3 linked regions of the Pelodiscus sinensis genome follow. The protein of the gene in region 1 purifies or fractionates together with the protein of each later gene. This does not show direct contact. Links are inferred from orthologs where the notes say so. Each region holds a gene or a part of one and is shown on either strand. Other genes may lie near its edges. The genes, in order: KLHL22, EMC1 and NIPSNAP2.

Region 1 (3,745 bases):
TTAGATAGTCCTGCCACTTGGTATCGGGGCGGGACACGAGGGTGGGGAAATGCAGAGTGTGCAGCACGAATGTGTACAGCTGTTCCCTAGGCGCGGTCCGAAAACAGACCGGCTACAGATTTTGCAGCCGGCTGGGAGTCCAGGGGTGGAGATGCTGGGGGGGGGGGGGGGGCGCGGAACAGGGGCCCAATAAAAGGGGCGGAGGCTTTGCAGGAGGGACGGGGCATACCCTCTCGCAGGGACCGCTGCAGAAGGTTGAGAGCGGGCCGCCACAAAGCCGCCTCCACCTCCTGGAGTATGCGCAGGGGGGGTTCAGAGGGTGGAAAGCCCCATGCACCGAGCGAGCACTCAGGGCTCCACCCCGTCCCCCCTGTCGTAGTCCAGGAGGTCTCTGACCATGGTGGTTTCTGCCAGGCTCAGTCTCCGGCGCACCGTGGGAGACCCCACACCTGCACGCACAAGGCGGGATTGTGGAGCAGGGGCTCCGTGAGGAGGTCTGCTCCCTGGGCGGCCACAACGGACCAGGTGGCCGGCCAGCGCTTCCAGGTCGGGAGGCGTTCCTGGTAGAATTCCGGGGGCTCGGAGCGGCCTCGCGGGTGGATAAAGGGAGCTGCCGGCATACGGGGCGCTGCGGAGGGAGGCGCTCCAAGGCGCTCCCTGCCGGACCATGCACCGGGTCCCCGCAGGGCCTGGGGGCGGAAGGGCTGGACCCGGCTGTGCACAGACCAGGCCCTGGCCCCTCCTGCAGGGGGCGCCGCACCCGCCCCACACGCGTTCGAAAGACACGACACGCGCCAGGGGGGCGGGTCCCTTTAAGTGGGGGGGGGGGAGCGCGCGCTCCGTTCGGTCACGTGGGAAGGGCGCTCTGGCCCGACTCGATGGTGCGGGCGAACCCGGAAGCGGGCGGCGGGCGCTGGGGCAGGCGGAGGCTCGGGGTCGCCGCTGCCGGCAGGTGAGCGCAGCGCTGCGGGGGGAGGGGCGCCCCCCCCCCCCCGGGATAACGGCGCCCCGCCCCCCCAGTGCTGGCCCCGCGAGTGACTGACAGGCCCGGTGCCGCCCCCCCCCGCGGCGGGAGAGCGGCCGGCCCCGCTGGGGGGGGGGGCTGCAGGGGAGGAGCCGCTTCCCGCCGGTTCTGCCCCCCCCCCCCCCCCGCTTTACACGCGCCCCCGCGGCCGCAGGCGGGTTCGGGCCCCGCGTTAAAGGGGCGAGTCAGCGGGCTCCTTGCGGAACAACCAAAAAGAAAGAAAGTCAGGCCGGGCCCCCAGCGCGCCGCCGGGCATGGCCGGGTTAGGCTCCCACAGCAGGCACCAGGAGGCGTCTGGCCGCGCCTGAGGCTGTGGTGAGACGCGGCTCGCTCCCTCAGCCGCCTGCAGGGGAAAGAAACGGCAGGAGGCAGGTCTGGGAGGGTGGCAGCAGCGCCAGTTACATCCGCGTGCATGTGGCTCCTCTCCAGCAGCCACGAGATGGTACCTCCAGGGGAAAGTGCGTATGGTAATGTGAGAACTGCTCCCGGTTTCTATTTAAACCTCTTCTCAAGGGGTGTGAAAAACTAACAGAGGCCGTGCTCCCCAGGGCCTCTCAAAGCAGTCATGGAATAGGTTTGCAAACGGCGTGGTACCGCCACTGAGCGGACCCGCTTGTTCAGTGCGGTAAGAGTTAAAATGCTGCGAGGGAATCAGCACACGCAAACTTTGGCTATTTCTGTGGTCTCAGAACTCATCTTGCTGTAACTGGTGGCTGTGAGGTTCTGAACATTTCTACTGGTGATGGCAGAAGATCAGGAGCTGACTCAGACATGCAAGACTCCCTGGGAGACCTCCCTCCAGCAATGCAGCAGCCACACGTACCGCAGTGCACAGCATTCCCAGTCCTTACTCAGCGGCTTGGTCTCCCTCCGAGATAGTGGCATCCTGTTTGATGTAGTCCTGGTAGTGGAAGGGAAACCCATTGAAGCTCATCGGATACTTCTGGCTGCATCGTGTGACTATTTCAGGTATGTGCCATGTCACTGGTTAATCTTTAACCAGCATCTTTCTCCATGACTCAAACCTTCTGAATCCTGGCTGGACTTCTGTCTTTTCGCCCTTGGGACTCCCCATGCTTCCCCAAGTCTGGAGTAAGGTCACACTGGTCCAAAACACACACTCCCAGATTTCAGCTCTGATCACATCTAGAGCAAATCGGTTTCTTTGTACTCAAAGAGTAAAACAACGCCTAGTTGTTCAGTCCATAAAGCCTGACATAACAGCCATTATCATTCCAAACAGGGATTGCATGGGTCTTCCTTAGGGACCCCGTCCACTCAGCTGTGGGTAGGTTGCAATTGAACGATGTAAGTCACTCCTTTCTCCTCCTAGCAGCTCAGAGTATGCCTACGCTGCATAATATAACTGTGTCTGGGCACCTCTGCCTGTGAGGCTGTGTTTGTCCATCTTGCTGATACGCGTATGCGCTGTAGTGTTATGCATGCCCATGCCTTGTCTATACCATCCGTGCATTGACAAATTTCACATCTCTGGAAGCTGGGGTTGCTTGAGGTGAGTAGGGGCTTGGGAATTAGAAAAACCAGCACACACAGGCCCCAGAAATTGTGGGACAGCTTTGATGGACTGTCTCAGCATGAACCTAGCTACGCAAACTCTTAGCTCTGTCTTCAACACAAAGTGGGAGGGTAGAAATATGGTACAGTGAGACAAGCTTATACCTGTATCCCTGGATGAGCCACCAAGCGCACGTGCTGAGAACATACAGGCACGTGCCTGAGGACTTTGTGGATGGGAGGCGGGATTGGTCTTCAACGTGTCAAAGTCTGTCAGACCTGCAATGTAGACACTTAATGGGCTTGTTCACCTCTGAACTCAGTGCATTCACTTCCCTATCACTCCAGCCCTCTCTGGATGAGAACGCAAGGGCATCTGAATCAATAAGTCCTTTGTAGCTTTAACGGCGAGGAGTCCTGTGGCACCTTATAGACTAAATGAAGTGCTGGAGAATAAGCTTTCATGGGCAAAGACCCACTTCGTCAGATGCAGGTAGTGGAAATTTCGTCTTTGCCCACAAAAGCTTATGCTCCAACACTTCAGTTAGTCTATAAAGTGCCACAGGACTCCTCGCCGCTTTTGCAGATTCAGACTAACACGGCGACCCCTCTTATACTTGTAGCATTAAAGCACTGTCACCAGGCTAGCACACTTCCACATATGTTTTAAACTTCTTTAAAACAAGGGCTTATAACATGAGCCCTAACATCTTTTAAAGACAACGACCCCGTTGTGGGATGCAGAAGTCTATATTGCTTTTATTCATTTTAATTCATTTAATGAGGGAGATTTTTATGCTTTCCAGGGTGCCCAGTGATGTATGAGGAAGCCATTTATAGGTTAAACTAATGCAAGGATGCACAAGGAGAATAGGTGTACAGCTGGTTATCCAAAGCTTGACTGCCTTCTGGATCTTCAGAACTAGCTGGCTGGTGTGTCTTCACTGCATTCTGAAAAGGCTCTGCTCTGGGTTTCCAGTTTGAAAACTGTACTGCCTGGCATAATTCCTGGAGAACTGGATTTGGCAACAGACATGGAGGCTTTGCAAAGCTGTCTGTCCAGTTGTCTGTCTGACTCTTTTGGGTGACCCCAGAACAGTATGGCTAAGATGGGTTGAACTGTACATAGCTTTGGCACGTCTCCAGTGTCGTCTGTATCTTTTTCTTTCTACAGAGGCATGTTTGCTGGTGGGCTAAGAGAGATGG
Region 2 (3,745 bases), on another chromosome or scaffold:
TCATGCAACATCCTGACCCTGGTAGAAGCCAATACACGAATAGACTGAGAAACTTCTATAATGTAATTGGTCAATTTTATGACCCTCCTGGCACTCAGCTTAAATTGTGAGGTAGTTTTGTTATATGCAGTATAACTTTTAAAAAAGAATCAGATTAATAATGAATTTATCTGGCAACAGTGGACCATTCTCAAACTTTCTTTTCTGTTGCTGGAGTCTAGTCAAATTGCCTCTGTGTGCATCAGTTTCCTCACATCCGTAAAGCATACTGTGAGACTTAGTCTGTGTAAAATACATTAAGATCCTCACAGGAAGAGATTCTATAGATTCAATACAGAATGGAAAACTAAGCTCAGTACCTTAAGATATATGCTCTTACTTACCTCTTCTATTAAGCTCTGTTTGACTTCTAAGCCTTTCTTTGGGGTTTTTGTTAGGGAAACTAAAAGGAAGAAGAGGAGTTGCTGTTATCTGTAGGTCAGGCACCCTTTAGGGAAAGTACAGATAAAAAGCACAGAAGCGTGGCTGCCAAATACAATACGGACATCAACTTTAATTAACTCAGGAGACTTCTGATTTACTCTTAGAACACCGTGTGCAACCCTCTAGCCCTGCACAGTGTAGGATCAGGGTTATGTTTAGTTCTTGCAACCCTGCTCTACAAACCAGTGATACGCAACAGAGTGTCCCCACATATTTGCAACACTCTTGGTAGGAGATAAGAAACTAGGGATGTGAAAGGTTAACCAGTAACCATCACCCTTAATGGATGATACTTACTGGTTCCGGTTATTGTGTAGGGACTGGAGTAGCTCCCCAACTGCCACAGGCAGGGGGATGCTCCAGCCCCATGAGGCCCACTGCAGCCTTTGCAGCGGGCTCACATGCTCTGAAGGCAGGGGTGCCTCTCCATCCCAGCCAGGTTGGAGCACAGCCCCCCCCCCCCCGCCCTCCTCCCCACCTGCTGCCCCCTTAATTGATTAACTGGGATTTTACATCCCTCTAAGAAACTCGTAACTAGAAGGGAAACCGCTTTAGAGGCTGCTGGAGTGGTTCTCTAATTGCCAGGCCAATCAACCCAGCCTCGCCTGCCTGACCTCCCCCCCCCGCATGAACCATCAGACCCACACCCACCGAACAACCCCCTCAGCGGGACAGGGACGGTGGCACCGAGACGCGAGCGGCCCAGGCCGCCCCCAGAGCCCCCCCGCCTGAGCAGGGCAAGGCCCCCATCCAGGAGGGGGCGGCGCTGGCGGGACCCCTGGCGGGGAAGGGGGGTCACTCACTCTTCTTGTCCCGCTTGGATTTAGGCATGGCTCGCACGTTGCTGAGCGCCGCGAGGACCCCCCTGCGCCGCGAGGGCTGCCGGGATAGGAAGCCCCCGGAGGTGCCCGAGGAGGTGCCTGACCAGAGCTGCCTTCGCGGGATGGTCCCTCCCGCTGCAGCCGGCCCAGCGCGGGCCTTTCCGAGAAGAAGCCTCTCCCCGCGCGCCTCCCCCGCCCCCTCCACTCGAGGGACTCTCTTTCCCCTCCACGCAGGCTCCGAGAAGGGCAGCCCGCAGTAGACGAGGCCCCGCCCCGCTGCGGCTCGGCGGAGCGGGCGCGCTGCCTGTCGGGATAGGGCTTCCGGCTCGGACCATGACGGCCGCTGCCTGGCCCTGGCTGCTGCTGCTGCTGGCCCCGCTGGCGGCCGCCGTCTATGAGGATCAAGTGGGCAAGTTCGACTGGTGGGTGCTGGGGCCACATCCGGGTATTTCCCCCCCCCCCATCAGCAGCGCCGGACCCTGTTCACTGGCTCCGTCCACCCCCATCAGCCGGGGGGGGGGGGCTGACATCGCTCCAAGCCCTGGATACTGACGTGTGCACCCCCCCCCCCAGCTCTGGGTGGGCTGCCCCGCTCCTCCCTCCCCCCGCTGTTCCGAGGCTGTGCCCGGGCCTCTCCTGCCCCCCCCCCCCCGAAGCGAAGGAGGAGCCCGAGCCTGGCCCCGCGAGGCTGTCACGGGCGCTGGTGTCTGCGGGGGGGAGATGCCCTCTGGGGTGCAGATTTGCTGCACGCGCATTGCCCGGCCGGCCGTGGGGGGGGGACCCCCAGCCATTGAAACATCTGTAGGGGGCCGGCCGTTGGGGGGGGAGCCCCAGCCATCGAAACATCTGTAGGGGGCTGGCCGTGGGGGGGGGAGCCCCAGCCATTGAAACATCTGTAGGGGGCCGGCCGTGGGGGGGGGAGCCCCAGCTATTGAAACATCTGTAGGGGGCTGGCCGTGGGGGGGGGAGCCCCAGCCATTGAAACATCTGTAGGGGGCTGGCCGTGGGGGGGGGGAGCCCCAGCCATTGAAACATCTGTAGGGGGCTGGCCGTGGGGGGGGGAGCCCCAGCCATTGAAACATCTGTAGGGGGCTGGCCGTGGGGGGGGGGAGCCCCAGCCATTGAAACATCTGTAGGGGGCTGGCCGTGGGGGGGGAGCCCCAGCCATTGAAACATCTGTAAGGGGCCGGCCGTGGGGGGGGGGGAGCCCCAGCCATTGAAATATCTGTAGGGGGCCGGTCGTGGGGGGGGGAGCCCCAGCCATTGAAACATCTGTAGGGGGCCGGCCGTGGGGGGGTGGTGGAGCCCCAGCCATTGAAACATCTGTAGGGGGCCGGCCGTGGGGGGGGGGAGCCCCAGCCATCGAAACATCTGTAGGGGGTTGGCCGTGGGGGGGGGGAGCCCCAGCCATTGAAACATCTGTAGGGGGCCGGCCGTGGGGGGGGGGAGCCCCAGCTATGGAAACATCTGTAGGGGGCCGGCCGTGGGGGGGGGGAGCCCCAGCTATTGAAACATCTGTTGGGGGCTGGTCCGGAAAAGTGCTTTATGGACCAGCTATTTGCCCTACTGCTGCCTCGGATTGACAGCCCTGTGCCCTGCAAAACCGCTCCCTGCCTGCCTTTCGCTGAGGGAGTCTGCTTTCCGTCTCACTGGGGAGGGGGAAAACGACCTTGGAACAACAGCGGCTTTCAACCTAGAGACGTAGGAATGTACCAATTGCCGTATGCTTTGAAAGTATTTAATGAAAATGCAAGAATGAGACTGGTTATACTGCAATGCAACCGTTCATTTTTTTCATTTATTATTAATTAATATACAGGCAGTCCCCGGGTTACGTACAAGATAGGGACTGTAGGTTTGTTCTTAAGTTGAATCTGTATGTAAGTCGGAACTGGCATCCAGATTCAGCCGCTGCTGAAACTGACCAGCGGCTGACTACAGGAAGCCCGAGGCAGAGTTGCTCTACCCCGGGCTTCCTGGAATCAGCCGCTGATCAGTTTCAACAGGCTGAATCTGGACGCCAGTTCTTACATACAGATTCAACTTAAGAACCGCAGGCGTCCCCAAGTCAGCTGCTGCTGAAACTGATCAGCGGCTGATTCCAGGAAGCCCGGGGCAGAGCAACTCTGCCTCGGGCTTCCTGTAGTCAGCGCTGGTCAGTTTCAGCAGCGGCTGACTTGGGGACGCCCGGGGCAGAGCAGCTTGGGTGCTGCTGGGTTGCTCCAGTAGCGCCGCTCCTCGGTGCTACTGGACAAACCCAGCAGCACCCAAGCTGCTCTGTCCCAGGCGTCCTGATTCAGCCGCTGCTGAAACTGACCAGCAGTGGCTGAATCAGGACGCCTAGGGCAGAGCAGCTGGGGTGCTGCCGGGTTGGTCCAGTAGCGCCCAGAGCGGCGCTACTGGACCAACCAGCAGCGCCCCAGCTGCTGTACCACAGGCGT
Region 3 (3,745 bases), on another chromosome or scaffold:
AATCATCTTATACAGATGTCTTAACTTCACACTGAAGATATATTCCAATTCTGGTTCTCTTCTCCAGGAGGAAAAAAAAGAAATTGTCATTGACTACCAAGTCAAACCAATATTGTTTTGATCACTGAAAATGACAGTGAGTTTTGCCAGTTACTTCAGTATATTACTAGAACAAGTTTGTATGTTAATATCTGCACCTACAGGGTTTCCAACAGGAGCACACCAGGGAAAAAAAAGCATTCTAATTTCCAGTAAGTTGTTGGAGTGGTAACAAGTTACAGATAGATGTACACATATTTCATGTTCAGAGTTCTCACACATTCCATGAAAGGAACAACAGTGTAAAGAGCAGCCAACAATTACACTGTAAGCTTTCATAGTACACACAGTTGTGTTTTTTGTCTTACAGACTAGAGACCATGGTAACTAATGATAGCATGTAAAACCTTAGGCCCTGTGATTACAAACACATAAGCAGTTGAGCATAGGCAAAGTATTGCCCTTATTTTACAGAGGAGAAAACTAGCAAAGAAAGGTGAAAGGGCTTGCCAAGGCTGGCAGCTAGTAGTGGCAGAGCTGAGGGCAGCCCTGGGTCTCTATGCAGGTAAATATTTCTTCCCTGACACGTTGATGAGGACACAGAATTATTACCCTGTGAGGGGGAGAGAAAGAGACACACACTGGTAGCTTTATCCCCAAGAGAGGAAGACAGGCAGTGGCATCAGCCTCCAGGGACTTGCAGTGGGTGGGTTAAAATAGGTTTTAAGAGATGTGCAGGTGCAAATGGGGCTCCCCTCCGCCGCCTGACGGCGCAGGTGCCTGGCTCGTGGGATGTGGGCTGGACCCGCAGGCACGCGGGGGCCGAGCCCGGCAGCCAAGGGGTTAAGAGTCGGGTGGGAGGGGGCTGCTCCCCCTCGCAGTGCCAGGCCCCCTGGTGGCCGCCGGCGGGTACTGCAGGCTCGTCTCCTTCGCCCAGGCCGGGGCGCGCTGGACTGAGAGGCCGGAGCAAGATGGCGACCCGAGTGCTGCTGCGGCGGAGCCTGGGGGGAGCCGGCGGGCTGGGCAGGGCCGGGCCTCGCCTCCCGGCCCGCGGCGGCCTGGCCCTCAGGTGAGCGCGGCAGCCCCGGGGCCCGGCCCTCGCGGGCTGTAAGTGGAGCCGCGGGGGCGGGGGCGGGAAAGTCTCAGCCCCGAGTAAGCGCCCCTCGCCCGGGGTCTCCCTCAAGGTCATGGGCCTCGCCGCGCCCCCAGGGGCCGCCCGCGGGCAGCCCCCCCGCATTGTCCTCGTACCCCGCCCGCACTGGGGGCTCCCCCCGCAGCCTGCGTTCGACCCCCTGCAGCGCAGGCCTCCCGCCATCTGCGCCAGGGCCCCGCTGCCCCAACGCCCCCGGGGGACCCGCCCCGCTGAGCCCGGCTGGAATGGACCCGTGCAGCCTGGGTTATGTTGTACGTGCCCCAGCTTTCATGTGTGTTTAGAACAGGAATCAAAGCCTGTCGGCTGGATTGCAGTGACTGCTCCGTTCAGCATTTTCTCTTTCCGGGGAAACGCCATCAGGGCAGCTAGTTAGGATTTGTCCTAACATTGAATCTAGGTTGTGGACTAAAAGAAAACTTGGTGGATGGTAATATGTCCCTGTGTCTTGAATCCCATTTAAATCAATATTTTCAGCTGCCTGCTGTAGCACTGAGGTAGTATATGAGAACAGAAAGGTGAAATTGATTAGAAACTGATTAGTCTTTTATTATTTTTTAATATAAGGGTAATGCCAGAAGCAAAACAGTGAAAACTAAACTTTGCTTTTTAAAAATTTCAATTTTCCTTTCAGTAACAGGGTACCAATGATGCTTCCAAAATAAGGAAATGTGTTTTGTTGAATTGTTTTAAAGTAATAGTGTCCCATTGAAATCTTGGGCATCAATGATCTTTCTTTCTTTCTTTCTTTCTTTCTTTCTTTCTTTCTTTCTTTCTTTCTTTCTCTACAAGAGTCACTAACAGTTTGAAATATGTACACACATTGGCTGATCACTTTTTCTCTTTACAACCCAGTCTGGATGTACAATTGTATATAGAACAATTGTTTACGTAGCAGATGCAGTTGTAGGTCTAGTTCCTGCCAACACACACATGCGTTTCTCTAAGTACTCTAAATTTGTGGGATTGGGACCATAACCAGTAAAGTCAGGCTGTGCCTTAAAGAAAAGGATTGAAAATGATTCCGTGATAGGTTGCCTGTAATGCTGTGAGAAACATGGCTCCCAGAAAACCAAAAATATTATGCTGTTGGAAACCCCATATACCTATCCTTTATCTATGATGTAACATTTTCTTACCCTGTGTTACAATTTAGTTTTTACAATTTAGATACATTCCCAAACAGTAAGGGTCAGGCTGGAAATAAGGTATAAATGTTTTACCATTAGAGTAACAACTGGAACAATTTACTAAGGGTCATGGTGGATTCTTTATCACTGACAATTCTTAGATAGCAGCGAGGAGTCCTGTGGCACCTTAGAGACTAACTGAAGTGTAGGAGCATAAGCTTTTGTTGGCAAAGATCCACGAAAGCTTATGCTCCTACACTTCAGTTAGTCTCTAAGGTGCCACAGGACTCCTCGCCGCTTTTGCAGATTCAGACTAACACGGCTACCCCTCTAATTCTTAGATAAAAATTTGATGTTTTTCTACAAGAAATCTAGGAATTATTTTGAGAGAGTTCTGTGGCCTCTGTTATACAGGATCTCAGATTAGATCATCACAGTGGTCTTTTCTGGTCTTGGAATCTAAGAGTCTGTTAGTCCAGTGGTTCCCAATTGCCAGTCCGTAGACCAGTGGTTCCCAATTGCTGGTCCATGGACCAGCACAGGTGCCGGAGCAGCCATGGTGGCTGAGGCGGAACTGGAGGAGCCTCCCTTCCTCCTTCTTCCTCCCCCCTCCCTGCTTGGGGGGGAAGAGGGGGTACAAAGGAGGAGGGAGCATGTGCACAACCAGCGGCCGCTTCCCCTGCCTGCGCAGCTGCTTTTGCCAACTTTTGCTGGGGCTCAGGAGGCAGAACAGAGGGTGTCCCCCAACACCTTTGGTAATGGCAGCCGGCCAGAGCTCTGCACCCCCCTCCCCCCATTCTACCCATGGGGGCGCAAGGTGCACTTGGGGAGGGAGAGGGCGTGAAGGAGGAGGGAGAGCATGCACTGGCAACGGCCGCTCTCCCTGCCTACGCAGCAGTAATAGCAATGCTCGATAGGTGGGCATGGGGGCAAAGATCAAAGGGGTGTTGGGTGAGGGCATGGTGGTGTTACAAGGCAAGAGGGTATTGGCATGGGTTGTAGGGGTCAGAGGTTAAGGGATTAAAGGGTGTTAAGCACTGGGGAGCAAGGGGCTGGGTTGGAGATCAGTGGACAGGTAATATTTTATTTGCATATTCATTATTTGCATAATGAAAAAAGTTTGTGAATGGGTTTGCTGGTCTGCAGCATAAAAAAGGTTGGGAACCACTGTGTTAGACTGGAGTATTCTTCCAAATGAGATGTATAAAGCACTTAAGTTCTACTGTAGGGAATGTTTCTGAACTAATAAAAAGATTAGAGTAGAATAAAATGTTGCGAATGCTCCTTAGCAAGTGTATAGTAACACTTTATTAATCCATGTTCTTAAAGTTCTTTGAAGTTCTTGGATTAAAAGTATCATGCAATTGCAAAGTATTATTAAGGTCACCATTTCATTAAGAAATTAAGAGAAAACTATCTCCTTCTT

What was found.
Region 2: the proteins of KLHL22 (region 1) and EMC1 purify together in Homo sapiens (co-immunoprecipitation; 3 studies listed by BioGRID and IntAct, with this or other methods). This does not show direct contact. The link is inferred for Pelodiscus sinensis from reciprocal best matches to the Homo sapiens genes KLHL22 and EMC1.
Region 3: the proteins of KLHL22 (region 1) and NIPSNAP2 purify together in Homo sapiens (co-immunoprecipitation; 3 studies listed by BioGRID and IntAct, counting the BioPlex papers as one, with this or other methods). This does not show direct contact. The link is inferred for Pelodiscus sinensis from reciprocal best matches to the Homo sapiens genes KLHL22 and NIPSNAP2.

What each region holds. Positions count from the first base shown.
Region 1 is NC_134725.1:6,512,967-6,516,711, reverse strand, and holds the start of KLHL22 (kelch-like protein 22), read left to right. Parts: upstream 1-813; 5' UTR 814-952; intron 953-1,315; exon of another isoform or gene 1,316-1,339; intron 1,340-1,713; 5' UTR 1,714-1,766; coding exon 1,767-1,993; intron 1,994-3,345; exon of another isoform or gene 3,346-3,472; intron 3,473-3,713; coding exon 3,714-3,745. UniProt on the Homo sapiens protein: Substrate-specific adapter of a BCR (BTB-CUL3-RBX1) E3 ubiquitin ligase complex required for chromosome alignment and localization of PLK1 at kinetochores.
Region 2 is NC_134733.1:7,467,892-7,471,636, reverse strand, and holds the start of EMC1 (ER membrane protein complex subunit 1), read left to right. Parts: upstream 1-1,566; 5' UTR 1,567-1,637; coding exon 1,638-1,726; intron 1,727-3,745. Other genes in the region: MRTO4 (mRNA turnover protein 4 homolog), read right to left, coding at 384-442, 1,287-1,314. UniProt on the Homo sapiens protein: Part of the endoplasmic reticulum membrane protein complex (EMC) that enables the energy-independent insertion into endoplasmic reticulum membranes of newly synthesized membrane proteins.
Region 3 is NC_134731.1:20,287,321-20,291,065, reverse strand, and holds the start of NIPSNAP2 (protein NipSnap homolog 2), read left to right. Parts: upstream 1-943; 5' UTR 944-1,010; coding exon 1,011-1,108; intron 1,109-3,745. UniProt on the Homo sapiens protein: Protein involved in mitophagy by facilitating recruitment of the autophagy machinery required for clearance of damaged mitochondria.